Saccharomyces cerevisiae S288C: one gene and its partners. The gene in region 1 interacts genetically with each later gene. Each region holds a gene or a part of one and is shown in the gene's direction. Other genes may lie near its edges.

Region 1 (9,440 bases):
AACGCCGTTTGCCTCTTGCAATACGTGACTACGTTCCCATGTGACATATTTGGATTATTTATTAATGTGGTCTACATTCAAAAAGGAATACAAATTTTAACAAGACAGTTCAGTGCTAAATCAGGGGAGAAATCAGTACAAGACGGATTTGCTAGTGTCGTGGTGGCGCTGGTTATGACTGCGTTTGGTCTTTTCTTTAAATTATTTCATTATTACCCCCTCTTTTCTCATAGGATCAGAACATTCATATCTGATTATTCAACTGCGCTTTCAGTGCTATTCTGGTCATCATTTACACATTTTGGTGGCTACTTGCATGATGTCAAATTTAAAAAATTGCCTATTACGAAAGCTTTTTTTCCTACTTCCAAAGTCAATAGGCCTCAAAATACTTGGCTGGCATATGAACCGATTCCTGTTAAAGACGTCTTTATTGCCCTACCATTTGGTATATTTTTAACAATCTTGTTTTACTTTGATCATAACGTATCGTCGCTAATGGCACAAAGGCATCAGTATAAGCTGAAAAAACCATCCTCTTTTCATTACGATTTCGCACTATTGGGACTTACCACTTGCATCAGCGGGGTTCTAGGAATCCCGGCGCCCAATGGTTTGATTCCTCAAGCACCATTGCACACAGAGACACTGCTAGTTAGGGATTCAAACCAAAAGGTTATCAGTTGCGTAGAGCAAAGATTTACAAATACGTTTCAGGGCCTGATGATTCTAGGGACAATGACAAGACCGTTATTGGTATGCTTAGGAGAAATCCCTCAGGCAGTACTTTCCGGATTGTTTTTCATTATGGGCATCAATGGCCTAATGACAAATAGTATTATACAACGGTTGGTTTTCCTGTTTTCAGACCCTAACAGAAGAGATAATACTTCACCTTTAATGAAAGTATCCAAGAAGTCAATGCTGATATTTCTTTCCTTTAGCCTGACGGGGTTTGCTGGTGAATTTGCTATCACAAATACTATAGCGGCCATCGGCTTTCCCTTAGTATTGCTTTTAAGTGTGTTAGTTTCTTTCTCGTTTGCTTATATTTTCCCGACTGAAGAATTAAAGATTCTCGATACTAATGTGGCACAAAAATTTACCATTAAAAATTTGTTATTGGAAAATATTCGTGATGCAAAGTTCTGTGATAAGCATGAAGACTAAACGCAGTTAGGATGTACAAAAGTCAACCACTTGTAATATATAGAAATTAATTGCATATATAAGAAGTATAATAATATTATCGCATTTCGAAAGGAAGAATAAAACTATGGATCTTGTAGTCAAACTAATGGCTTAGATTCATTGGGCCAGTCTTCATTTTGTAATTCCGGAACAATAGTCAAGACTTTCCCGGTCAATATCACATTCTTTGCATTTTCAACGACCAGTTCTTCCATTTTCTTTCTTGTTTCTACACTATGTGTGCCCATATGAGGCAGTCCTAAGACTTGGGACATCGATAATAACTCTTTGGATATTTTTGGCTCATATTCGAAAACGTCCAAACCAGCACTTCTAATCTTTCCAGAACGCAAAGCATCAGTCATGGCTTGTTCGTCTATCACGGCACCACGCGCTGTGTTAACAATAACTACACCATCTTTCATTTTTTCAATAGTCTCTGCATTGATTAGATGGTGAGTATTGTGGTTCAGTGGGACGTTTACAGATACTATATCAGAACGCTTCAAAAACTCCTCGAATCCTACATATTCACAACCATGCTCTTCTTCGGAAGGAAGCTGGTGTCTGTTATGATATATGAAATTCTCGAACCCAAACGGCTTCAATCTCTCTAAAATACAACGACCAATCCTACCTAGACCCAGTATACCAACTGTTTTCCCTTCAGGGTCGTATCCAAAGGGAGAACCACATGCGGGTCCTGCCTCCGGCCAGTTTCCCTCGATCAACCTTCTGTTACCAATACCGAAGTTTCTTAGGGCACCCAATAGCAAAAATACATGCGTATCAGCGGTAGCATTGCTAACTAAATCAGGAACATTGGCAACCTGGATGTGCCTTTTCTTGAATGGCTCAACATCAATTTGGTCATAACCAGCACCAGTATGACATACAGCCACTACGGAGGAGGGCAAAGCAAGAGCAAGCTCTTCATCAAATCTACCGGTGTTTTTCACACTCCTTGCTGTTCTAGTAATGACTTGTACTTGGGAGAGCTTATTTTGTGGGTCTTTTACCTCCCGCAAAAACTGTTCTCTAGTGGTGGATTCAGGGATGGTAATTACATCCGCAATCTTTTCCAATTCCCCCCAGGCTTGGTCACCAAAGGCATCCTTTCCTAATTTCAAAACAATTGGTTTCTTACTCATATTCTCTTCTCCTCTTCTTGCTCGTTTATGTATTGTTAATACTTCGGTATTGTAGAGCAATAATCATGTAGAAGGATTTCCCTAACGTAACAACAAGGCCAATAGAATTTACTTTTTATATGCTCGAGATTAGTGAAAAATGGGATAAGATTGCCTTGTTATCCCCGCCCCCTGCCAAGACTTTTGCAGATTTTAAGTCCGCTCTCGGTCCTACGTAATAAATGCCTGGAGAAGCTCTAGAGCTAATTGCGTCGTCCTTCAGGAATTCTGAAGACCACAGCAACGCAATCAGATGGCGGAACCACATTATGAAGCCAAGTGAGGTGTATACAGAGTTATACGTACTTTTCATCCATCCCCGCTCGGTTTCACCGTTCATAACGCTGGTTTTCACTGCCACTTCTCATATCAAGTCAGCGAAATAACCAGTAGTTGTCCTGTATATAGGCATCCCTACCGTTTGCTTTAGGAAGCTGTTCTGTGTTACTATCACAACTGGGTAGTGCCCTGTATGAATTGCTTCCCTGTGGAAATGGCCCTTCCATTATGCTACTTTGACGCGTTTACTGCCGCATTACGCGTTTACGATGAAAAATTAAAATGAGTATTAAGGATTTTTCAAATGAGATATGGTTCGTAAGTCGCCTCACATATGATAATACCATCTAGCTTGTGGGGTTTAGTGTATCTTTAATATAGGAGGGCGCACACTATGTCTGCTGATTTGCAACAAGGCACTACAAATGCGGCTGATTTCTCTCTGACGGTACTTAGAGCAAGAATTGCTTTATTGGCAACTGCCATCGGTGGGCCGGATTATACTTCCCAGATAGACCCACCCCCTTATAAGCTTGGCGATGACTGTTTGGCGTGCTTAAAAGATCTGAAAAGATGGTTTAAACTAGTGGATGACCAGCAGAAAAGATGGGATGTGGCAATGGCAGTAGCTGAATATCGCATCTTGACGGATGATCTGTTACCTATTCTGATAGATTGGGAAAACAAATGTTCTCTTGCAGCAAAGCTTGCAAAGAACAACCCAGACCATGAAGAGTTTAGAAACAAAGCTTATTACGATAAAATTGCGCTAAATTGTCTACAACTATTGGTCCTTATGACTTGGCCTTTAATTGTAACTGAACAGTCTTCATCAAATCAAATTACTCTCTATGGTGAGCTAAAGAAGCATCAATTGGTATACAAGAAAACGATTCTGTCTATGGAAAGTGGTAAAGTGTTAAGAGCTGCCATTAGATTGGCTCTGGATGTTATCAAAATCGACCGATTATCAAGAACTCCTAGGGACAATATGGTTCTCAAATTGGTTTTGAATTTTTTCAGAAATGTCATTGCTATAGAACCCGGTGAATTTACTATCAATACTAAGAAAAGCATGCCTAAGAAAGGTATCACATCTATCGATACTTTGCCACCAAACGTCTCTATGGATGACATCTCTTTAAATACGGTTATTTCCTCATTCCATAAAAACAAGGTATTCGGTTTCCTCTTAACGCTGACCAGCTCCTTATCAAAAGAGTTTGACCAGGACTTTATCAATATCCCACTGTTGGAGATTATGTTCTACTTCACTAAAGATGTTAACCAAGAACTGCTATTCCCTCGACAGTTCGAAACCGGGACACATTCAAAGGTGGTAAATAAAAATGAGAGCTCCTCTGCTAATAACATTGTTACAAGTGCAGGTTTTGAACTATCGAAGTTATTACAAAAGGAACACCAAATGAGAAAAAACGTTATCAAGCATACATCTGCAAGACACTCCAGATTTGGTGGTCTTTTATCTATACAAACACCAGATAAAACTAGGTTAACTGTTTCTGGTAGCCAAGCTCTCGTAGATGAAAAAATAGCGCTCCAAAAACTAGATGACAGCAAAAAATGGAATAAAAGAATAATTAAAAAGCATCAATCTGTCGCAGCTGAGGGCTTACCGAATAGTCTCTTGAATTCACAAACCGGTAAAGCTATTTTTTTCACCGAATCAAATGGTAAACATTTCAAAGAATTCATCAACAACTTTATAGATTCCGGCTTTAACATCTTGTTGCATAGTGTGACGAACTACTTCACAACTGAGCAGGATAGGATGGTAACTTTGGAGCAAGTCGAATATTTACTTTTCTTTGCATGGTTTGTTAAATACCAGTTGTTGAGGTCCAAAATCGACAATTCCGCAGATATAAAGCAAGTTTCAGAAGCCTTGAAAGAGGTGACTTTCATTCTAGTGTCTTCTCTTTTAAGAAGCGCATATGACCTGAAAAATTGGACAGTGACACATGCTGGTATGATTGCATTTAATGAACTGTTGAACCTCGTTTCCCGTACAAAGGCCGCTCAAGAAGAGGATTCGACCGATATAGAATTCATTGTAAGTAGGCTTTTCAGTGACGAGAGAATACAATTACTGTCAAATCTGCCGAAGATTGGTTCCAAATACTCCCTCCAATTCATGAAAAGTTGCATTGAACTAACACACTCGGTATTGAAAGTATTAGAGCAATACTCTGACGATAAAACATTAGTTATTGAAGGCAAATCAAGACGGCAAAAAAAGTTTAATATTTCAGAAGGTGATATTACTAAATTGATAGAAGAAGAAAATGTAGATAGAGATGAAGCGCTTGATATTCTAACCTCTTCTTTAAGAAGTATAGAAGTCAATTTTCAAAAGGTGCAAGCCAACTATATGACAGAACCGGTAATAGAAACGTACATTAATTTCCTTGAAAGATTTCGTGAGCTTGAGGACGATTCCATTAAAAAAGTATTTTCCTTTTTCCATAGAGTATTTGTTCAGGCAAAAGAACAGGCATTGTTATTTAGATTTGATTTGATAATATTATTAAGAGAAATGCTTTCACCTGACGGATTAGATAGAATGTCTCGTTCAAGGAAATATGTGAGTCAATTTTCAGACTACTTCCTCGCCAGGTTGAAGAAAAGGTTAAAGAAATCACCTGCTTGGTTTGTTGGATTACTTTTCCCGCCATTACACAATAGTGAAGTAGGATTTTACCAAAGATATGGTGAATATAATGTACTTAATAATGAATCAATGTATGCCGCTCCTGCATCACAGTTCAAACCAATTCCCGATGAAGAAGCCTTACCACCTTCGATTTTGTTGGATATGAAATATGGTGTTTTAGTTTCCACATTACTTGATGATGGAAAAACTGAACTATTGGACCAACTGCTCAAGCATATAACCCACACACTAGATATTTTTAAGTCGTGGCTAACCGTAAATGTTAATGCTGGGAAAGAAACAGTTAATCCACCCAATGAATATTTCACATTGACAGGTGTACTCAACAACGACCCTATTTTTAAAGATAAGGACTACAGGGCTTTATTGTTGCTGATAGGATACTCCATTCCACGTAAAATCAATGAACCTTGTTTTTTACCGGGGACTGTTGAAGTTTCTGACCTGACTGTTTCTTGTGAACTAGTGAAAAAATACTTATCAACACCATTTGAAACTCCAAACGGACTGCCTTCTTCTTCCTATCTTCTACGAGTTCGTTCAGAAAAGGATAGTTTTTCTCACAATGAACAAGATGGATGGGAAGGAGACGATGATTATGATTACAACGATCCCTACATTGTTCCAGATGATCAAATTTTATCGAAAAGCGACGCAGCATACTTCAAGGATTTAGATAACAATGCATCAGATAAACTTAAAGGTACCAAATTCAGTAAAGGGATTGCGAGATCCAAAAAAAAAGATAAGAGGAAGCGTAGGAAAGGAGAAGCCAAGACTAATTTGCCAATGTTTGGCGACCAGGATGATGAACGACCTCAGACCGTTAGAGAACGCCATGGCGTATTCAGTAAAGAGTTTATTAGTGATTCAGAAGATGACGAGGATTTGATGAACCCTATATTTTTTGAAAACGAAACATATATGAGATGGTTACTAGATAAAAACAATGGTCAGTTGACCGAGGATAGATATATCCAGTTTGCCAAATTTGCCGCGGAAAGGATGAATAATGGGGGTGTTGTGACAGGAGATTATACGAGCTTGTTTGGTGGATCCATACCAAGTATTGAAAGCATAAGAGCTACAGAAAGTAGTTCCTTTGCGCCAGATAAAAGCCTCATTTCTTTAGCAAGCCACGTGGCATCTGAAATGTCTATTTTCGATGTAAATAATAACAATAATAATCAACTCTCTGATGACGATGTCAACTCGGAATCAAGAAATAGTTTGGGCTCATCACAGCCATCAAATTCGCAAAATATGTTCCAATCTGAGGTGTATAGCAGAAAAGAATCTACAAAGCGTTCTTTGGAAGCGAGTGCAGCCGATGAAAGCGATGAAGATGAAGAGGCCATCCGCCTTTTTGGCAAAAAGTCTAGAGTTGTTTTGAGCCAAGGTGATAGTGATGATTGAGAATGAATATGTAGTAATTAATCCCTTTAATACGTGTAATTTTAGAACCACTTCTTTACTCTGTTTTTAAGTTCAAAGTATTGACATAATATTAAAACAATACATGCGATTCATTCTTTATCATTACCTATATTTTTCTAAGTTGTTGAACATCTTAAGGAACTCAAATGTCCATTAGGACACATAAAATTAAATATTATATAATTTATTGCTGTTCCTGGGCATCATCGAAATTGTCATCATTGCTTGAAGACGCATGCAATCCGCTACTAGGACTATTTTCCCCTATTTGTTCTTGGGTTTTGTCGCCTATCGTCAAGTTTGTCTTTAAAGTTTTTTCATTATTATCCTTCTTAGAGTTCTCGTCTCCAGAAGATGCCCTCTTCGAGGATATATTTTGTTTTACATTAGACTCAGCGTTTTCAAATTCAGTCTGATCAATTGCGCTTTCTTCTCTAAATTGCTCTTCTAAATCATCCAAATCTTGGAGTAACTTCTTCTTTTGTATCTTGCGTTGAGGAGCCTTTTTCTTTATTATAGAACGACCTTTTTTATCTCCGCAATCGCTGTTTTCTTCATTATTATTTGCCGACTTAATGCTACTTTTGTCATCTTTCGTTACCGTGTCATCACCTTCACCGTTGTCTATACTCTCTGGTGAACTAGAATCTGCGCTACTTGTAGTAGAATCTGCTAGAGAAGATTCATCTTCTGATGAACTATCTGCGGTTGAATTATCTGTGGAAGACCCATCTGAAGAGGATTCATCACTTGAAGATTCACCCGTAATTTCATTTTCCATATCTCCACTTTCAAAGTCAAAAGCGTCGCTCTTTTGACTTTCTTCTGCGCTAGATGAAGAAAAAGGTCTTTTTGCGTCCTGCTTCCAAAGAGCTTTGTCCTGCAAGCGAACCGATATAGCATCGTTTTGATCCTCATCGCTGTCATCCTCAACTAACGGTCCAATTTTTGAAGAAATTGAATCATCCACTGCCCATATGCCAATATGAGTCCAATGAAGTATACAACGCAATTTACACAATTGCAGCCATGCTCTTTGAATATTAGTGGTAGGTTGTCCTGGCTTTGCATTTGTTTCAGAAGAAAAAATCTCCATCTTTGGCTTATTTTTTGTTGAAGAATTGATACCAAGTCCTGCCATAAAACTTAAACGTTTGGTTTTTTTGTCTTGAGAAGAAACCCTGCCGTCTCTTTTGGTATGCTTCGTTACTTCAGAGAATTTTTCCAAATCTTCCTTGGTAATGTTCTGCGTCGTTAGCTTTTCTAAATGCCATGCGCCTACCTTCAATGATCTCAGGAAAGCAAAGATTTCACATGTCTGCCGCAACTTTAGCAAACACCAATGACACAAGGGATACGTATTCGTAACTTGTTCTTTACCGTCGTCAGTCTTGTGCAACGTTTTCAATATATACATCCTTGCGTGTTCGATAATGTCATCTCTAGATTCTCCACAAAAGGAACATGCGGCGTGCACTGCAACTGGAGGTGAATCTAAGGGAAACTTGAACATTTTTGGCATATTCGAAGTGGCTTGCTTTGCAGGGCTACTTGAGTTGTAGCCAATTTGGTAGGTTGCATTAACGCCGCTTAGGGGTTCCACGACCACCAAACCATCTATAATCAAGGAAAGTAGGGTTTTTTTAACCAACCAGCCGATGCCTGAAGCATTATCAATCTTAAGTATAGGCTGGATTTCATCATTTACCAATCTTCGTATTAACTTTGATTCGGTTGAAGTTGCCTTTATGTTTTCACAACGGGGTAGTGCAGCGACAAATTTTAGAAATTCATTGTAAAGGCTTATATCATAACGAATAGATGAAATGCTTGGCGAGTACACAATTCCGCTATAAATATCTTGGGAAGCAAGAGAATATGAAGTTGGAACTTTATTCAAAGAAGTGCTAGAAGAAGTTGCTGAATCACTCAATATTGTGGAATATCTGTTCGAATTATTTGTGACTGTGCTTTCATTATCTAAACTATGCATCACTTTTTTCAGATTCTTGAGCTGTAGGGTCAAAGTATCCAGTAATGTGTCCTTTTCACGCAGTTGTTCAGTGAGTCTCTTATTTAAGATTTCGATAGCATATTTCTCCTTTCTAGCATCAGCAACCATATTATTAGCCTCATCAAAGAGGGAAGCAGTCAGATCCTCAACTTCTTTATTTAGTTTATCCGCTTCCTCTTCAGCTTTAGTTCGAAGCTCATTTTCTTTGGCTATATCTTCACGCAATCTTTTCACTTCGTCATCTCTGTCTGACAATTCTCTTTTTAAAGTGTTGTAATCTTCTTTCAACTGATTATAGTTTTCAATTGCTGCCTTCTGGCTGGCTATTGTTTTTAAGGATTTATTAAGCTGTTCTTCTAAGTGTGACTGTTTATCCACGCTCTCGATCAATTGCGTAGACAGGGATGTAACCTGTATTGATACTCTTTTTGCTTCCTCAGAAGCATCCATATTGAAACCTTTATCAAACACAGCTAGTAAAGGAAAATATATCCCAGTGAACTAAAGGTCAAAATTTTCTACAACTTTTGGATGGAAATCAACGTTGCTACAGCTGCAAGTGACAAATGATATTATTGCACGAATCACTGTGCTTGTCACTTAGGTAAACGAGAGCCATGTTTTAAAGGTGCTT
Region 2 (9,433 bases), on another chromosome or scaffold:
TTAGGTGTTTCTTGATGAAAGCAATATCCACTTCTAAACCTAAAAAAAACATAAACAGTATTATTCCCAAATTCGCCACTAAATTTAGCCCCGGGATCGATGATGTAGGGAAAATTGTGTTTGTATAGTTTGGAATTTGACCAAATATAGTAGGCCCCAAAATAACACCAGATATAACTTCTGAAATGACTTTAGGCTGCCTCATCATTGAAAAGGGAATGTGAATTAAATTGCATACCAGTAGTATGAGACATGCTTGAAAGAGAAATAATGTAAGCGGCGAACTGGAGTTGTAGTGGAACGGATTTACACCCGACAGAATTCCTCCTACAGTGTTTGCCATTTGATAGAATATAAATAATACAACTTCGTAATAATAATAATCGTTGGTATCATTTGATGTGTGCTTTAGCAACAAGAGATGATATAATAAGCGAACAGTTTTTGTTTTTTATTTTCCCTTACTGGAGCTCAGCCACATTAATGCGAGACGCAACGGGTGCATAATATTGAAAGCGCATTTACAGCAGAAAAATGCTTTCAGTATTTATTTTGAGATGCTGAATATAAATATTTAGAGAATACATCCGTAGTAGTCTACAGTAAGATATAAATCAATGCTTCGGGTGTTTGTATATCAAAGTGTCTTTCTATGCTCACCCAAAAATTTTCTTTTGCTTATAACTTTATAAAGCTCTTCGTCTTCTACTAGATTACCAACTAATTCTTCTATGTTCTTGAAAAGCATCATAAAAGCAAAATGAGGTTCATTTAACGGGAACTTGAGGGGCGTATCAGGTGATATCCAAAATTCGGGTCCGCGTGTGTACTCCTCAATATCTGTAATGTTCCTCAAATGTAGTTTATGAATGTACGACCAGTCGGAAAAACTAAGTGTGTAATCTTTATCCGCCAGACATATCCGATGTAGTTTTTTGACGGCTTTAAGTAGCTCTTGCAAGTTCCTTAAATTACAGGTCCCCGAGTCCTGTAGTGCATATTCAGCAGAAGAAACATATTCTAGAGGAAGTATTCCCTCTGGGCTAGATGCTTTTGATAATGAAGAAAATGATTCTTGCAGGCTTGCAGGAGGGGATGTCACTCCAGAATCATTCTCTTCTGAATTATTATCGTTGAATTCAGAAATTTGACTGGATTGTGAGCTCGTTGTATTTTCTTCCAGATCACCATCAGCTGTGTCAGATTCTTCGAAAATTTCTCCAGTGTTCACCATAAAGGAAAGTGCTCTTTGACGCCCATTAAAAACGATGGACTTGACTTTATTATTGAATGATTCACCGATCTTAATATCCAGAGAAGTGGAAATGTCAAACAACAGATCACCGACTGTAGATAGGATAGCCCCCATTAATGGCACGGCTCCCAACGCCCAAATCACAAAAAAAGCACGGCCTGCACCAGTCCTTGGAGCATAGTCTCCGTATCCAATGGTTAATAAGCACAAGAAACAAAAGTAAATACAATTGAAGTACGACCAATTTTCTGCGAATTTGAATACAAGAGCTCCCAATAACCAAAAAGCCATGAAAATTGCAATAGTCACCGACAAAGAAAACCAATGCTGCTTCCTTGAGGCCGTTTGTCGGATACACTTCATTAAGTCGAACGCTTCCCTTTCAGATAAATTTTTACTACTATCCATATAATGTTTCCACGATTTGGACCTGCCTTTTTCAACTCTGTGGAAAAAGAAAATTGGGCCAGAGGACTTTTGAATGATGGATCTTGTCATAAACACTATTAAACCCATCAAGACAACACCAGATAGCGAAAAGATTAAAACCATGATTTTGGCGCCAACCGACTTGGGCAGGATGTCACCTAGTCCCACGGTTAATAATGATACCGTGCAGAAATATAATGCATTTCCGTAAGTGATGTGCAATAAACCGCTAAACATACCCGCACCCCAAATCAACCATAAAGACAATAGTACAGTGTATGCCATGATACTTCTTTCATTGGGCAAAAGGTTGAACGTTGGAGGATATTTTCCTAATTTATATCCAATAAAATGTATTGTTAAAATAATGGTGCATACCAAATATAGACCAGAACTGATACAGGCAAACCAAAATCCGATAGTCTTACTGTAGATGCTGGGCATGTCATTCAAGGAGCATACAATCACGTCCACCAAAAGCATCCCTCCAGCTATTGTCCATCCTGTTATATTTATTAACTGAGATTTAAGATACGTCAACTTCTTACTGAAATGTAGCATTAGTATAATATTTGACGTAAAACCCAGTACCAAAGAGATGATATTAACGGCAAAAATACCAGGAGGATCAAAAACTGTCTTTACTTGATTCATCAAAACATCGGTGTCATTGCTTCGTGGATTTGTCACCACGGAGTTGTTCTTTAAGGATCTCCATTTTTCAACTACACAGGCTATCGAGATAGTGTTAGCTACGGGACCCAAGCAGGCAGTAATCACAGGGAAATAGCATGAAACCACAAACCAAAAGACGAACAGTGTTGAAGAAGGCTCTGCATTAATAATACTAACTCTTTCGTCCCGGAACCGCAATGCATCCTTTAGTTCCTCTGCAAGAACACCCTTAGCTTGCTTCGGTGTGTTGTTTGAATGAGAATCAACAGCCTGAGCTGAGCTCTCTTGCTCCACTGTCGCCATATTGCCATATCCCAGCGTTTGTTTGGCAAAGCTGTTCATGAACCTTGTCATATATATAGAAATCGGTAAAATAAATACAAGAAATATGCTTTGTTATACTGCTAGAAAGGAGTGAAGACATCTGCTCACGATCTACGAGATGCGGCTATTTTTGATGGAAAAAGATACATAGGGTCAGGCATTTTTGCCATATTGAATAACCAAGATGGTACTGAGTACTCAGGTAATGTATATTACATTGAGTACTTCACTTGTATACACAACCACTGCTTCGTATTGTATATCAAGTATCTAACTGTTGATAAACTACAACTTTCTCTTCAACCATAATGATAGCGCCGCTTAAAACATGCTAGGGTAACGAGACGCGAATGCGAAAAACTCCCAAAAAAACCAAAACAAACAAAAGTGACAACAATTAGAACGATGCTGAAGAAGAATAGGAGCGAGTTTAGAGTTACCTCCAGCTATCCTGATACTACTGCTTAGGCTACCTTCGCAGAGTCTCGATAAATTTGCAGTCGGCAAGATAAGAATATTTCTCTACAGCTTTTAGACAGCTTCCTGTCCCTCTAGTTTCTTTTGCCATCCATAATTGTACTCTGCACTTTGAGTATCATTCCAATTTGATCTTTCTTCTACCGGTACTTAGGGATAGCAAATGTCGTCGAACAATGATCTTTGGTTGCATTTAGTATCCCAGTTAAATACTCAACAGAGAGCAGCGGCCCTCTTTGATTACACTAGAGGGCTGCAGGTCATTGCCGGTCCCGGCACAGGGAAGACTAAGGTTTTAACTTCAAGAGTAGCGTATCTTATTCTGCACCACCATATTCATCCCCGCGATATTATAGTGACTACTTTCACTAACAAAGCTGCTAACGAAATGAAAGAGCGTTTGCAAGAAATGTTACGCGGGGCAGGCGTGAATATTTCGGAGCTCTTAATTGGTACTTTTCATAGTATTTGCCTGAAAATACTTTATAGATTTGGCCACTTGGTGGATCTACAGAAAGACTGGAGAATTATTGATGAGAAGGAAATAGATGTCATTTTAGATGATATGATCGAAAAAGTTCCCGACCAAATAAGGGATTATGCTTCCTCAATCACAAGGAAAGTAAATCTTTGTATGCCGAGTAAAAATGGAGATGAATGGACTATTCATCCGAAGCTGATCAAGAAACAGATATCAAAGCTAAAATCAAACGCAATATTACCTGAGGAATACATCTTAGATTCGAATCATGACGCCGCGCTTGGTTACTTTTACCAAATATACCAATCAGAGCTAAGCAAGAAAAATACGTTAGATTTTGATGACTTATTAATGTACACCTTTCGTTTGCTGACTAGAGTGCGTGTTTTATCCAACATAAAGCATGTTTTAGTTGACGAATTTCAAGATACTAACGGCATTCAATTGGACTTGATGTTTCTTTTTGCTAAGGGAAATCATCATCTTTCGAGGGGGATGACCATCGTAGGTGATCCTGATCAAAGCATATATGCTTTCAGAAACGCCTTAGCGCACAACTTTCTAGAAATGGGCAGAAAATGTCCCATCGAGTACTCAACTATCATACTTGTTGAAAATTATCGTTCATCACAAAAAATTCTAAATACAAGCGAAATTTTAATAACGCAACAAAACAAAGGTCGGCAGAATAGGGCTCCACTCCGTGCCCAATTTGACCTGGATTTTCCACCAGTTTACATGAATTTCCCCGCTTACTTTTTGGAAGCACCTTCTTTAGTTCGGGAACTACTATATTTGAAGGCATTGCCAAACCTATTCACATTTAATGACTTTGCTATCCTAGTAAGACAACGAAGACAAATTAAAAGGATCGAAAGTGCATTAATAGAACATCGGATACCCTATAAAATTATTAGGGGCCACAGTTTCTGGGATTCCAAGGAAACAAGAGCGATGTTAAATTTATTAAAATTGATATTTTCTCCGAATGACAAACATGCAATTCTTGCTTCACTTTTATATCCAGCAAGGGGCCTTGGTCCTGCTACCGGTGAGAAGATTAAGAACGCATTGGACACGTTAGCTACCGATGTGTCATGTTTCCAAATATTGAAAGACATAAGTAGTAAAAAAATAATGCTAGACATACCGACGAAAGGCCGTTCTGTGATTGCTGACTTCATTTCAATGATAGAAAATTGTCAATTGTTGCTCCAGAGCACTTTACTAGGGGGTCTTTCAGATTTATTTGATAAGCTATATGAATTATCAGGTCTGAAATACGAATACTTGTACAAGGATGGTAAGAAAAAAAATGATCAGCTTGAAAAATCCGAACCTAATTTATTAAACGCAAGACATAAGAATATTGAACTTTTGAAAAACTATTTCCTGGCTCTTCTTTCCAAGTCAGAATCTTCAGATAAAGAAAAAAATGAAGCCATTAAAGCAGCAACAGATGAAGCCGAACCAATAGAGAACAAGGTCATCACTCCAAAAGAATACCTCCGTAATTTCTTCAATTCACTTTCCCTTCATTCTGATGCAGCTGAGGAGGAAGAGTCGGAATCCAATAAAGATGCAAAAATAAAACGTGAGAAGAATGGGTTTGTCACGATATCTACAATTCACGGTGCCAAAGGTCTTGAGTGGCCGGTAGTTTTTATTCCTGGATGCGAAGAAGGTATAATTCCTTGTGTGTTCAACGATGATAAGAAAGACGAATCAGAGGAGGACGAAGAAGAAGATCAAGAAAATAGTAAGAAAGATGCAAGCCCAAAAAAGACTAGAGTTTTATCCGTGGAAGATTCTATAGATGAGGAAAGAAGAATGTTTTTTGTTGCACAGACTCGTGCAAAATACCTGTTGTACCTATCAAATACTGTAACTGTGGAAGATGTCGATAGACCAAGAATTGCAAGCCGATTTTTGACTACTGACTTGATAAAAGCCATGTCCGATAGCCAAAAATTATTTGAAAGTACGAATAGTATCAAAAAACTATACCGAATTTTGAACAAAAAGCCGCCTGCTGAAGATGATAAACTATTCTCCCTTGACCAATTGCGCAAAGACTATAACCAATTCATTGAAAATAGGAGAGAAAGGATGATTTGGCAAGGGATACAAATGAATGATGTCTATGGAATACAGTTGTCTAGAAATAAATTATTGGGTTCTGTTAGTGATTTCACGTCAGCTGCGGACCAGTTACGACTCGAAACGCAAAACTCTATATTCCCACAGAAGAAACTTATTGAAAAATCACGCCCATCCAAAATCAATGGCAATTACGCTCCTAAAAGTAGAGTTAAAAGTCCAGAAAAAAGGTACGCTCCAGAAACTACATCATTCCATTCTCCTACAAAGAAAAAGGTGTATGCACCTCAATACGTTTCAACAACTAATGTACCTAGTAGGCAGGAGTTTCATTCTTCTACTGGGAAAAATATTCCTTTTCTGAGAAGAGAAGATAGGTCCATCACAGACATATCACCACGATCATCAACGAGGTCGTTAAAAGGAGCATCTCCAAATAAGACGAGCCACATGTCAGATGATTTAATGAGACCATCACCTACGAGGAAGGACAAAGTTACTCGTAATATTCATTTCGCAACTGCAGGAACTTTCAGAATAGAAACCCAGTCAAATGTTGATGAACTGCATCCTCCGGAATACTCCAATAAATCAGGGCAGTCGCTTACGTCGAGTGAATTTTCTGGGTTTTCTAGCGCGTGCAGTAATTCTGATCAGCCAACGAACTTAATAGAAGATATAAACAACGAATTAGATCTATCCGATGAGGAGTTATTAAATGACATATCAATAGAAAGGAGGAGAGAGCTTTTGGGCTCGAAAAAGACGAAAAAAATAAAACCAAAAACTCGAAATAGAAAGTCTAAGAGAGGTGACAAGGTTAAGGTGGAGGAAGTGATAGATTTGAAGAGTGAATTTGAGGAAGATGACAGCAGAAATACAACAGCTGCTGAGTTATTACATAATCCGGATGACACTACAGTTGACAATCGTCCAATAATCTCCAATGCTAAGTTTTTGGCTGACGCAGCAATGAAAAAGACACAGAAATTTTCCAAAAAGGTGAAGAATGAACCTGCATCAAGTCAAATGGATATATTTTCTCAGCTGTCACGTGCGAAAAAAAAGTCAAAATTAAACAACGGTGAAATCATAGTCATCGATTAGTAGCACTTTCATGCCTGACTACGTCAACTATTGGAGGCGGTTTATAATTTTTATTTAAAGCACATAGGAGTTAATTTTATTTTACTGGTAGGGTTTGTATACGAACTACATGGAAATGTGGATGGTGTGTTATTATAGCTTAATGAATATTCTTTTTCTATACAAGAAAACCGATATGACAGCTATGAATGAGCAGTATGCCAACAAAACCAGGAATGATTTTAAGGGTGAAGAATCTATCGTGACCATAGACATATTGACTAAACCAGTAGAGACATTTGCCAACAAAAATAAAAACAACCCATTGGAGTTGATTGATTCCAAGCATTCGGCAACTTTATAATATTCCGAAGAATTACCGAAAATTTTGTCAGTCAAGCAGTACCCAGTCAAAAATAGTAAATTATAAGTAATGACCCACAAAGTATATGGTAAGTTAGCAAACCTTCTTGAAACACTATAAGGATGGTATTGAAAAACCAACTGGCTGATAACAAGAAAAATTGTACTCCATATACAGAGGCCACTTAATGGGGTTACTGAAGTCCAATAGTCCCAAGTCGAAGACTTCTTTGATGCTGCAACTACGTCTTGCGTAGAAGGCTTATAAAGATTGTTTAAAGTTGGTTTATTTCCCAACAAGTAAAATCCCGTGTTTTGGCCCCAAAGAAAAATCGAGCAATAACCTAGAAATGAGAAGATGCCTTCTCTATTAGCACTGAAGAAACAATTTCTATCAGCCAAAATTAAAAAGTTTAAAGTGCGATCGTCCTTTAAAAGTAGCCATTCATAAATGCATGAAATGAATATTGCAATTGAGCAGCGTGGAACCATTCTTGTGACGGGATCAATAAAGGTCAATACAAGTGGCAACAATGATAGGGTGATAAAAAAATTCCAATGAACCCCATATTCTGTGACATGTTCTTGATATTCCAAATTTTTTACAAAAAACAACCTCAGCAATCCTAGGAACAATAGAGTTCCTCCTGATTTTAAGGCATTAAATGCATTTTTTAAGAAGCTGGGTTTACTCTTCAAGCTTAGGTTTTTCAACAGTGCCCTAGAAGAAACAATACCGTTACTGAAAACGAATGATCCTACACCAAGATCCATCAGGGATGTCCCCCAAGTTTCCACCTTGGCAAACCTCCTTGGGAAAATTGGAAAATCTACAGCCAAGATGGCAATAGCAGTCAGAATAAGCATCCCACCACGATACGCAGTAATATACGGCTTTTTTTCTAGTTGGAACCGCTGTGTAATCATTTTTTTTTTATTGTATATTGGATTAGAAGGTTTACTCGAGCTAGTAAATTTTCCATATATGAATGCGAGCAAACAAGGTAACAGTATTAGCGTGTTTAGAAGGTATGGTTCACTAGCATAAATAGTAATAGATAGAAGCAAAGCAACCCAGTTCAATGCAAAATCAATTATGTATTGCACGCTGGAAATGCCAGGAGGCATAAGGTTGGAATTTTTCAATAAGTTCCATGATATGTAAGTTACCAAAGCAATTGATGTCACTGCGTTAATTTCTGTTATAGAACCGCCATTGAGCCCTGTCACAAAGTCCTCTTTTCTCTGTTTTAAAGTCGACATATTCTTCTGATGTACTGTTGCCATTTATTTAGATATTTACGTGTCTTCTTATTGCGATCCTCTTTTTCTCATGCTGTTTTTTCACGCGAGCATGTCATGGAAAGTATTATCATACAAAACGGTAATACATATAGATGAGTAGATTTGAATAATGCTGTAGATGGCGTATGTAAATGAATATCTTATAAAATTACGGACTACATTTCAAGAATCTAATTCCTTTGTCTGATTTCTTGTCTGTCGTCTCATAGGTTTTTCTAAAGAGGCAGTACGTTTCTTATCTTGAATGGAGCCATAGGTAACTTGAGTATGTGAAACTTCCTCAGTTCTTGGGATCTCTTCTGGATTAGAAATTGCAGTCGGCTGCTCTGTAGGCACATTTTCTGACATTATTGTGCCCCAACTCGTGGTTCGTTTAATTTGTTTAGGAACGAAATTTTTTGGCAGTGACTCCAACTTGATCCTTTTCGTATCCGGCATTTGTCTCTCTGAAGAAACATCCATGATACTCGATGAGACACTACGCTTTTTTCTTCCAGAATCAGTTTCTCTAATTTTCTGCAATAATTCGTTTTTGGTATCTTTCATAGAGTGCTCCGATAATGAGGAATTGTTTCTTTTCAAAAGAATAGTTTTGTCGATTTTTGGATCATTGTTTTGGTACTTTTTTTCTGAACTAATGCTGGTATAGTATGGTTTTTTTATCTTACATTTAAAATCGTCCTTGTGTCCTCTTGGGCAGATAATACACCACTTGATATTGTTTAAAAAGATTTCATTATTTTCTCCAGATGCAGCGGACAATAATTTAAAAATAAATGCTGGAGTAACTACCGGTATGGAGTGGAATTTCTTGATATATTCAATTTTCCTTTTCATCGAATTTCTCAAGATTGAATTATTTTGAAAATCTTTTCTGTTATTATCACCAGGATCATCATTATTGTTATTAATGCAAAACTGAGTAAAAAGATCGCTAA
Region 3 (7,020 bases), on another chromosome or scaffold:
GTCTTCTGCTAATTAAAAGATTCGGATAGGCAGTCTTTAGTTCTTTGGTACGATCTCTTGGAGGATGATCACCCAATATGCCACCAAATACGAAATAGTCGAATTTCGTAGCATCCTCCGGCTGTAAATCGATTGTAGCCCTAGGGTCCAATAGACAGACTCTGCCATCTTTTAACAGTTCCAAATCCTTGAAATCTTCGTTAATGCCCTTCAAATCCTTTGTAGTCCATCTTAAACCAAGTTTTAGTAGCCTTTGAGGGATGTCCTTTTCCGTGGTACTCTCTGGTAACGATGATAAAATCAAGTTTTCAGCTCCTACTTCTCTCAGGATTTGGCTATACTCTAAAATGACCCATTCACTAAACCCTTCCTCCATATGCTCAATAATGTACTTCATCGTATATCTAGAAATAATCTCCACAGCTGTATCAATCTATATTAACAATAGATATGCCCCTCAACATCTAATAAGCAAAGGGCATTGCTCTTTTACAATACTCGATGAGCTTACCGAAAATTTCTAATCCAAAATAACGGAAAAAATTGAAAAGGTGTCAATCCTGTTACCCGCAAGTTGAAGTACGGAAAGAATACAACCTTACACAGTGGAACTATAATAGACAGTAAAGAAAAAAGTTAAAAAAAACTTGTGCCTTGCGTTTACTGATCAACCAGTCTTTCTTTTTACATATATTTCTGATGCATTTTCATGTTTACTTAAAATTTCTTTTAGGATAAACGCTGCAATATCCGGTTCTTCGAAATAAGAAACATGTGATTTTATAGCTGATATAAAATCCACTTCTAGCAGACTTGGAGACATAGCATAATCTAGACGTCCGGTGTAATTCAAACCTGTAAGCATTCTCGTAAGATTTTCTGATAACTTGACCTCTTTTTTTTCTGGAGAAGTTTTTTTGGACTGCAAATTATTTTCATCAGTACCTGGCAAATCTTTCCATATGTTTTCGCCAAATTCCAAAACTTTAGAAGTTAGTCCATAAGCTTCACTACAATGTGGTAAATAAGTTTGTTCGTAATGAGCCATTTCTTTACTAACAAGAGGTTCCATCCTATAAGAAATGGGATCACAGACGTGGTAAACATTATAAATGTCCTTACATTGCGGTCTCTGTACGGTTAATTTTCTCTCCAAGTCATTGGGAAATTCGGGACGGTCACCAATTTTTGTTCTTTGAATTAACTTTAACAATCCAATTGGTGAGCCAATAAAGAACAGGTTGTCTACTTGAAATTCTAATTCATATTTTTTTTGTTTGGATAGAATATCAAATAATATCATACTACCCAACGAATGGCCCACTAAATGGACTTTCCCATCAAACTCTGGATTAAATTCTTTAAAAATCCGATATGTTTTGTTCAATTGAGAGGTTACTTGTTGTAGAATCATATCTTGGTAGTATGGTTCGACATACAACAAAATATCTAGTAGACCGTCAGCCAGTAGCTTCCTCAAGGGTAACACTCCATTTACTGTGACTTGTGACAAAGTCGGTAGGTCAGGATTTTCTATATTTTCCTCCTTAGCATCCGTTTGGAAACTTATCGAGTGCCTCCAGGTGATGGGTAGCACTTGAACGTTACAGTTGCTTTTATAATCAGGTGCTGTGTTTAATGATTGTAGTTTCTCAGAATTATTGTAGATTTTTTTCATATTAGACCTAAGTAGATTTACCGTGTGTGCGAAATTTACGTATTCGTACTTCTTACCCAAAGTCTGACCTATACCGTGAACGCATAGTATCAAGTTATCCACATCTCTTCTGTTACTTCTAATTTGTCTATCGCTTGCGCCCGAATTTTTGCCATCTTCTATTTTGCTACTAGCATTAGCGCCTTGACTGTTATCTGCATTGTTATAGTCTGTTTCCATTTGCTTTTCCAAGCTCTGTGCATCATCTTGATCTTTACTAGCATTACCATTGAACAACTGTAAAAAGTCCGATAAATTGAAGAGGTTTGAAACTTTCTTTTCTAACTTTGTTTCAATGCTCCTCGATTTGGAACTGTTACTACCATCTGCTACTTCCGTTTGAGGCGTTTTTGCTGCCTTAAAAGATGTGGATGTCTGTTTAGTAGTTGCGGAGGATGAATATTTGTATGATCTTGTAATCATTGTAGCATTAATCGGTAAGGATTGAGCCAGATTAGACCTTAGAAAGGCTAATTGCAGTTTTCCTCCATCTAAATCCGATAGTAAAAATGCAGTTTGTTTATTGGCAAACAAAATAAACTTGAAAGTAGATTCGTTCTCATCTTTATTGCTGGATCCATTTTTTTGCTCTCCTTCGTTTTCTTTATCGACTGGGTATTTACCTTTGAGCCTAAATATATCTTGCGATTCTGCAGGAGGTGTCGTGGTCGGATCATCATTACTGTCGTCGAATTTGAGCTGCTTATACAACCCTTCAATTTCGGAGGTAAGATCACTGGACAAAGGTTGATTTGAAGAGTCGAACCACACACCTCTTCGTACTTGATAAGTAGGGCCTTCCCAATAGGTAGGGGACAATTCCATGTGAGAGAGGTCGACTTTAAACAGGTAATCTTCGTTGACTAAAACAGGCCTGCGTTCTTGACGCTTACTGGCCTTTTCCAAACGATTAGAATCATCAACGGAGAACGGCTTAAACTTTTTGGGTGAGTGTAAAGTTTGATATGTGGGTAAATAGGGTTTGGAGTTGGGTACGTCTATGGCATAGAACCATGGTACATAAATGTGATTTAACCTTACGAAAATGTTTCTAAAACGAGTGCTGGAGGGAAGGCCTCGATGAGTAAACCGTAGCATTTCAAGTAATTGTTCACTGTGAGTATATTCAGTGATCTTCAATATTAGGGAATATGCAAAAAAATACAATCCACTTTTTCTTCCAAAGCGACAAATTAGGTCAGAAAACCAACAGAATATTATATTACGTAATTTACTTATTTATATGTGTGTACTATGTATGAGAACCACGCAGTCTTGATTTCGACCTTAGATTGTAATAAGATGATGATTTTGCTGCAGGATCAGGACCCTCAAGTTCATTAGTCAAAAGGGCCGCTTTTCTTGGTTTCTTGTCAGTGGGATTTGCTCTCAACCTTTCTCTTAAAGGTAAATCTTCCATGGGAGTAGAGCTATTCAAGCTCAGTTTTCTCTTACGCAGCAATTTTCTTTGTAAGGAGGAGGATAGCACTGGCGGAGAGGGTGGGTCCGTAGTCGTTGTTGTTGTAGCCGTTGCTGAGAGAGACGGTGATGGGACGTAAGAAGCTTCGTCATCAGATTTGGAAGATTCCTCTTCTTGCTCCTTTTGATATCTTAATTGAATTTCACGTTGCTTCAAATATTCATTCAAATCATCCGGAGTTTCATTAACCATGTCAATCAGTTTTTTGAAGTCTTCTTTATTTTGGTATAGTTTTTCTAAATGAGGAGTGTTCTTGACAGTCTTTGGAGCCCGCGTATGGTTCTCGGAGTGGTTGATTGGTGATTGTGGTTTTGGGATTGCAATGTCAGAGGGTAGGTAGTCTTTGTTTGGGTCCAAATTTAGTTTCTTGAACTTAGATAAAATTTCCGGATCCTGCTTATCATTAGGAAGTAGTTTTTGGTTGTTTAAAACTGCCAATGGTTGGCTTGAATATAGTTTAGAATGTTTTAGTCGAGTATGGTTCACGATACCTTGCGCGGAAGTGAAACCGGAACGGTCACATTTGGAGCACGTAATTATAACCAAAATGCCGTCATATCTTCTAAAAATGGGCTCATTATTTTCAGTCTTACCGATGATACCGCTATTGCTCGTCAAACAAGTGCTACTGTAATTACGTCTGTGGTTAAGATGCATCTGACTTGGTTTAAAAGGGAGTATCTGGAACCCCGGCTGCTCGTCTAAGGGGGAGATTGAGGAGGAACGAGGTGAAGAAATGCCATCCGAATTAGAGTGAGGAAGCGAGACGGGAGTGGGCTTGGTTATGGCTTCTGATAGAGATTTAGAACCTGTTAGCCTGTAATCAATTATATTCGAATTTGCCGGACGGAGGGCAGAAGGTTCTAGCAAAAGCCCGTTACTCTTGCTTCTAGTATGATAATGGTGGTGTGGTATGCGTGTTGTTGACAGATTTCTGTTGCTGCTCGAAGACAAAGGCTGACAGTTGATGTTATAATCCGATAGAACCGGGTATGACAGGTTATAATTTGATGCGTTCGTATTTTCCGTAGCCGTACTGTCGTGAAAGTGGCCGCCGAGCACGCTATGCTGCTGATGTTGTTTTATTTTGAGTTGATACGTCCGTTCGATTTTGTTCAATAGACCAGTATCCTTATGCAGGGTTTCCAAGAGAGCTAGTTTTGCGTTAACCTTTTGAACATTTCTTCGTAAGTGCCTAACATGCTTGTGGTTTAGCATTATATGTAGGTTCAAAACATTCTGTATTTCCCCTTTGGCACATTCGTACTTCAACCGCTGGGTATTTTCGCTATCCTTGTCCGGATTACTGGTGGCGGTGTCCATTTTGAAGGGCTCATCCATGTTGTTTTCCAAATCCTGAGGAGACTTTGGCGTGGTAACCTGATAAACGTTCGTCATCTTAGAGGATGACGATGAGGAAGAATTAGGATTATGATGCTGGTGCTGCAGTTTATCTTGGGCGGGACTCATCATGAGGAGATGGACATATACACAAAGTGTTGGATGAGAAGCGTGAGCCCGAAGAGTAGTGAAATGCCGAAGATCAGGGTGTTTATATGAACGAACACTAGCTTACAAATGTGGAAACGGGATCCTTCAGAGGTAAAATGCGCCTTCAGTGGCCAAAGTTCATCACCTTCCTTAGCACGGGTTCTTGCTGTCTGCTCTTCCTGCTTCTTCCCTGTTCGTTTTTCCCTCTTCCTACGGCTATGCACAGTGGCAAATGCACTGCATGTGTTTCTGTGGCGGGTATCCCTCAATTGCGGGTAACAATAAGTAACTCAACATCACGAACGACGTTTATGTTTGCTGTTACCACAAAGGGTAAAACGTCAATAAAAGCAAGCAATGTTATTCGTGCCAGAGAACTATATCTGGCGTACGTCTTATATATAACACAAGCAAGGGCAAATACGTGGTTAGTGGTGTAAAAACTGAAGGGATTAATTTACATACAACTAGATCCATCTTTCTCAAAAATGACTTCAGTATCGCCCTCGCCACCTGCCAGTCGATCGGGCTCAATGTGCTCCGACTTACCGTCCTCTTTGCAGACTGAGAAACTGGCACATATTATAGGTCTTGATGCCGACGATGAAGTTCTCCGGCGCGTAACCAAGCAGTTGAGCAGATCTAGGAGAATTGCTTGTCTGACTGGGGCAGGCATTTCGTGCAACGCGGGCATTCCTGACTTTCGCTCTTCTGATGGGCTCTACGACCTAGTGAAAAAGGATTGTTCACAGTATTGGTCTATCAAGTCCGGCAGGGAAATGTTTGATATTTCGCTATTTAGAGATGACTTCAAAATATCCATTTTTGCTAAATTTATGGAGAGGCTCTATTCAAATGTTCAATTGGCAAAGCCGACTAAGACGCACAAGTTCATTGCGCATCTAAAAGATAGGAACAAACTGCTGCGCTGTTACACGCAAAACATCGATGGGCTCGAAGAAAGCATAGGACTTACTTTATCAAATAGGAAATTACCGCTTACCTCATTTAGTTCACATTGGAAAAATCTGGATGTCGTTCAGTTGCACGGCGACCTGAAAACTCTTTCGTGTACAAAGTGCTTCCAGACTTTTCCCTGGAGCAGGTACTGGTCTCGTTGTCTAAGAAGAGGTGAGTTACCATTGTGTCCGGATTGCGAAGCACTTATCAACAAGAGATTGAATGAAGGAAAGCGAACTCTTGGTTCTAATGTGGGTATTCTAAGACCTAATATCGTCCTGTATGGTGAAAACCATCCATCCTGTGAAATTATTACGCAAGGCCTAAATCTTGACATAATTAAAGGCAATCCTGATTTTTTGATCATCATGGGTACAAGTTTGAAAGTTGATGGTGTGAAACAACTGGTAAAAAAATTAAGTAAGAAAATTCACGATCGTGGCGGCCTGATCATTCTCGTAAACAAGACACCCATTGGCGAATCCTCTTGGCACGGCATTATAGACTACCAAATCCACTCAGATTGTGATAATTGGGTCACATTTCTTGAATCCCAAATACCAGATTTCTTCAAGACGCAAGATCAAATTAAGAAGTTAAGACAGTTAAAAAGGGAGGCGAGCGACTTGAGAAAGCAAATGAAGGCCCAAAAAGACTCAATCGGAACCCCCCCAACAACCCCTCTACGAACTGCCCAGGGGATTGATATTCAAGGAAACAACGAATTGAATACAAAAATAAAGTCGTTAAACACAGTTAAGAGAAAAATACTGTCACCAGAAAACTCCAGTGAGGAAGACGAAGAGGAAAACTTGGATACAAGAAAACGCGCTAAGATACGACCAACTTTCGGTGACAACCAAGCCTCATAAACTTAACTATTAAAATTGAGTTAACGATAAATAATCGAGGCAGACACCCCTTTGCATAATATATCATCCGTTTAATTTATCTTCCATTTATATACTCATACATATACCAACGGAGATCTGCATGTCCGAGAATACAAAAAATAGTGAACGAAAAAAATATCACATCGCGAAAGAAAAGCTATCTGATATCTGCAACACGAAAACACAACAGTCGCGGCATGCAGATAGTACAAATTGAGCAGGCCCCAAAAGACTACATAAGCGACATCAAAATAATCCCTTCCAAGTCACTGCTTTTGATTACGTCTTGGGATGGCTCTTTAACAGTCTACAAATTCGACATTCAAGCAAAGAATGTTGACCTTTTACAATCGCTACGATATAAACATCCGTTATTGTGCTGCAATTTCATCGACAATACCGATCTGCAAATATACGTGGGAACTGTACAGGGTGAAATTCTAAAAGTTGATTTGATAGGTAGTCCCAGCTTCCAAGCT
Region 4 (3,461 bases), on another chromosome or scaffold:
GAAAAGGATTATTTTAAACAAGAACTAAGGTAAAGTCTCCTTCTGGGAGCAACCCTTACAAGCAACCACACACCCACATACTCAATTGATAATGTCTGCTATCCCAGAAAACGCCAACGTTACCGTCTTAAACAAGAACGAAAAGAAAGCCAGAGAATTGATTGGCAAATTGGGTTTGAAGCAAATCCCAGGTATCATCAGAGTCACTTTCAGGAAGAAGGACAACCAAATCTATGCTATTGAAAAGCCAGAAGTCTTCAGATCTGCCGGTGGTAACTACGTTGTCTTCGGTGAAGCTAAGGTTGACAACTTTACCCAAAAGCTAGCCGCTGCTCAACAACAAGCTCAAGCTAGCGGTATTATGCCATCTAACGAAGACGTCGCTACCAAGTCCCCAGAAGACATCCAAGCTGACATGCAAGCCGCCGCAGAAGGCAGTGTCAACGCCGCAGCAGAAGAAGATGACGAAGAAGGTGAAGTTGATGCCGGTGACTTGAATAAGGATGATATCGAGTTAGTCGTTCAACAAACTAACGTTTCCAAAAACCAAGCCATCAAAGCCCTGAAAGCTCACAATGGTGACTTAGTCAACGCTATCATGTCCTTGTCTAAATAATGATATAAAAATATATTATATAGGGGTACGTAGTTATTCTAACGCAAAATCATTTTGTTTTTTCCTTCTCCGACTGCGAAGGCTGTGCCGGTTGTTTTGCTTCAATGGCGTCTTCTCTTTCCTTTACTTCGTCTATTTTGTGGTTACAGTGAGGACAGATAAAGATGATTGGCTTACTGGCCAATCTGTAGCAATTGGATTTCCAATGACACTGTGGACATATGATTTTTTTGAAGGGAGAGAGCGAACTTGTTGAGTCCAATTCATTACCGCCTGCCAGTACGCTGATGATTTTGTCGAACCATGCATCGCTGTCTTCCTTCTTTAGGCCCTTTACATGGCTTTCCTTCTTAAATTTTTCTAGCTCTGTCTTTAGATTGTTTAATTCTTGGTATTTAGCATTTAATTCATCATCTAGAAGTACCATGGCATCGTCGTTTTGATCTTCACCGGAAGAAAACCGTTGGATGATTGAGCTTGTAGCATTATAGTGGGTCTCTTCCTTTAACTTTTCCAGTTTCTTTTGATGAATTGCACGGAGTTTTGCCAACTTGCGTAACCTATTGTTGTTATAAAATGCATAGAGTTTGGTTAATGCCCATTTGAACAAGATTAGCGAGCCTATGCATAGTAGCGCAGTCACCACAAGGTATGGTCGATAACCATGGTACTCCCAATATGTGTAGCTCAGGGCCAATACCGTTAACGCAATACCATAAAAGGTCAGATTTGATTGCCATTGACTCAAGATGGATTGGCTTTTCTTTAACGCGACATCTAATTGATGGATCTGTGAAGTTATTTGTGATAAATCTGCGGTATACTTCGTCACAAAGTCCTTATCATTGCGAGAGCCTCGGACCCATTTACCTAATGCACTAAACATATTTATGTTATTCTTTTATATCCGATCTCCTCTTTGTATGATTTTTGTTTTCTTAAAATATACATGTCAACGTTAGCATCTTGAATTTCATTTTTCCTTTAATCTTTTTTAGTAAGCTAACCACTAATATAGCCAAAGGAGTGATAGAAAAAAGAATTATCACTATCATTCAGCCCAATAAACAGCTGAAAAGAATGCCTAGTGTAGATATAGATGCTAGTCAATGGCAGAAGTTGACACAGTCAAGAGAAAAGCAGACCACGGTGATAACACCGCTTGGGATGATGATGCTGGAGATTCAAGGTGAACTAGAGTTGCCTAAGGACTTTGCGTCGCTGGCGAGGAGAGATTCTCCAAATGAGGGAAGGTTCAGTGAACAGGACGGCGAAACTTTAATACGATTTGGGTCGTTACAGATTGACGGAGAGAGGGCCACATTGTTTGTCGGCAAGAAACAGCGTTTACTGGGGAAGGTGACAAAGCTAGACGTACCGATGGGTATAATGCATTTCAATTCGAAAGATAATAAGGTCGAATTAGTTGATGTAATGAAATATAAGGTTATCTTTAAGGATAGGCCTCTACCTATTATGTAAGTACTTAGTTATTGTTCGGAGTTGTTTGTTTATGTTATTTGGCGCAGACTTCACGCTCTGTGTAAAGTGTATATATAATAAAACCCAAGAAGAACGGACAAGATGATAGATAAAACCATATTGAACTTGTACTCTTCTTCTTGTTGGGTTGGAACCAATTCATCATCGTATCTGGATCTTTCTTTAACTTTCAAGAAAATTGGAGTTTCATTTGGCTTCACGTTAGGAGGTAATTTATCCTGGTACATTTCTTCCATAAACTGTTCGATCTTGGAGATTTGAATGTTCAATTTTAAGAAATTTGGATCTTGCACAGCCAATTTAGATTTGATATCACGTAAGTAATAGTCAAAAATCTCGACACAGCCACGCAAAGTCCTTGATTTCAAAATTAAATAGCAGGTAGTACCCTTACGAATCTTTACATTGCCATGTAGCACTTCACGGTTGTTGAATACCAAAGCCAAGGTTGCAATGGCCATAACTTGGGGAATGGCACAAAATTGGAAAGTGGATTGCTCGTGGATACCGGCCAAATAAGTCAACACATCGATAACATGACTCAATGCGTTTAAGACGAGGTGGTTTATACAGTCCAACCCCAGTTGTTCGTTTTCAGGTTTCATGAAGTCCTTCAACTGAGGAGCGTATTGTGACCAGATTTCCTTGGGCCAGAAGGATCTACCATCGACCAAATCTTCATTGTAATCTCTGATGATGTTGGTTTTTTGTAGGAAAAGACCCATGCTTTCATACAATTGCTCATTAGAATACAAAGATTCGTTGGCAAACTTGGCAATGACAATCAAACGGGTCAAACCATCACCGACCAAACCAGCTACGTAGTGACAGTACACGTCGTAGTCGTGGACGGTTTGCAACCCATTCAAGTTGTAATTTTCATCTAAGATGTAGTCGGCCATACCATTACCCATTTTCTCGGTGATCTCCTTGATGACTTCTTGATATTCTGGTTTCAATTTGTGGAATTCAATAAGAATCGATTCGAAATCTGTCAAAACGGCTCTGTCCTTCACATCGGGGGCATTTCCGTCGAAACTCCATTTAGTTAACAACAATTTCTCGTGGAAGTGACGCAACAAGTCAATTTTCAAATCGTGTTCGATGGACATATCGTCTTCGATGGTATCCAAAGCCCTTAAAATCAAATAAAAGAGAGTAACACAGTTTCTCAATTCTGGATGCAGCTCTCTGATCACAGCAGCAAACGATCTGGAGGTCAAGTTCAACAGTTCGAAACAGTGCAAGAGATATGGAGACGTGGACTGATCATAGATGGAGAATAGCGGTGTTCTGCAAAACTTCAGCTTCAAAGCTGCCTTCATCTCGACCGGATGCAATG

The links.
Region 2: mutations in TOF1 (region 1) and SRS2 are lethal when combined (synthetic lethality), as found in Saccharomyces cerevisiae (7 studies listed by BioGRID, with this or other methods).
Region 3: mutations in TOF1 (region 1) and HST3 together harm fitness more than expected from each alone (negative genetic interaction), as found in Saccharomyces cerevisiae (7 studies listed by BioGRID, with this or other methods).
Region 4: mutations in TOF1 (region 1) and CTF8 together harm fitness more than expected from each alone (negative genetic interaction), as found in Saccharomyces cerevisiae (9 studies listed by BioGRID, with this or other methods).

What each region holds. Positions count from the first base shown.
Region 1 is NC_001146.8:119,829-129,268, forward strand, and holds TOF1 (Tof1p), read left to right. Parts: upstream 1-3,054; coding exon 3,055-6,771; downstream 6,772-9,440. Other genes in the region: BOR1 (Bor1p), read left to right, coding at 1-1,170; GOR1 (glyoxylate reductase), read right to left, coding at 1,290-2,342; guanine nucleotide exchange factor SEC2, read right to left, coding at 6,977-9,256. UniProt on the Saccharomyces cerevisiae protein: Forms a fork protection complex (FPC) with CSM3 and which is required for chromosome segregation during meiosis and DNA damage repair. FPC coordinates leading and lagging strand synthesis and moves with the replication fork.
Region 2 is NC_001142.9:254,100-263,532, forward strand, and holds SRS2 (DNA helicase SRS2), read left to right. Parts: upstream 1-3,323; coding exon 3,324-6,848; downstream 6,849-9,433. Other genes in the region: KHA1 (Kha1p), read right to left, coding at 1-343; TOK1 (Tok1p), read right to left, coding at 638-2,713; GWT1 (glucosaminyl-phosphotidylinositol O-acyltransferase), read right to left, coding at 6,981-8,453; protein kinase activating protein DPB11, read right to left, coding at 8,658-9,433. UniProt on the Saccharomyces cerevisiae protein: ATP-dependent DNA helicase involved in DNA repair at least for UV-induced lesions. The polarity of the helicase activity was determined to be 3' to 5'.
Region 3 is NC_001147.6:373,043-380,062, forward strand, and holds HST3 (NAD-dependent histone deacetylase HST3), read left to right. Parts: upstream 1-5,176; coding exon 5,177-6,520; downstream 6,521-7,020. Other genes in the region: protein-arginine N-methyltransferase SFM1, read right to left, coding at 1-397; DDL1 (putative carboxylic ester hydrolase), read right to left, coding at 668-2,815; AHC1 (Ahc1p), read right to left, coding at 2,970-4,670; BUB3 (Bub3p), read left to right, coding at 6,739-7,020. UniProt on the Saccharomyces cerevisiae protein: NAD-dependent histone deacetylase, which contributes together with HST4 to histone H3 'Lys-56' deacetylation, regulation of telomeric silencing, proper cell cycle progression, DNA damage control, DNA recombination, and genomic maintenance.
Region 4 is NC_001140.6:484,867-488,327, reverse strand, and holds CTF8 (Ctf8p), read left to right. Parts: upstream 1-1,696; coding exon 1,697-2,098; downstream 2,099-3,461. Other genes in the region: EGD2 (Egd2p), read left to right, coding at 92-616; LNP1 (Lnp1p), read right to left, coding at 666-1,502; ERG9 (bifunctional farnesyl-diphosphate farnesyltransferase/squalene synthase), read right to left, coding at 2,149-3,461. UniProt on the Saccharomyces cerevisiae protein: Essential for the fidelity of chromosome transmission. Required for the DNA replication block checkpoint.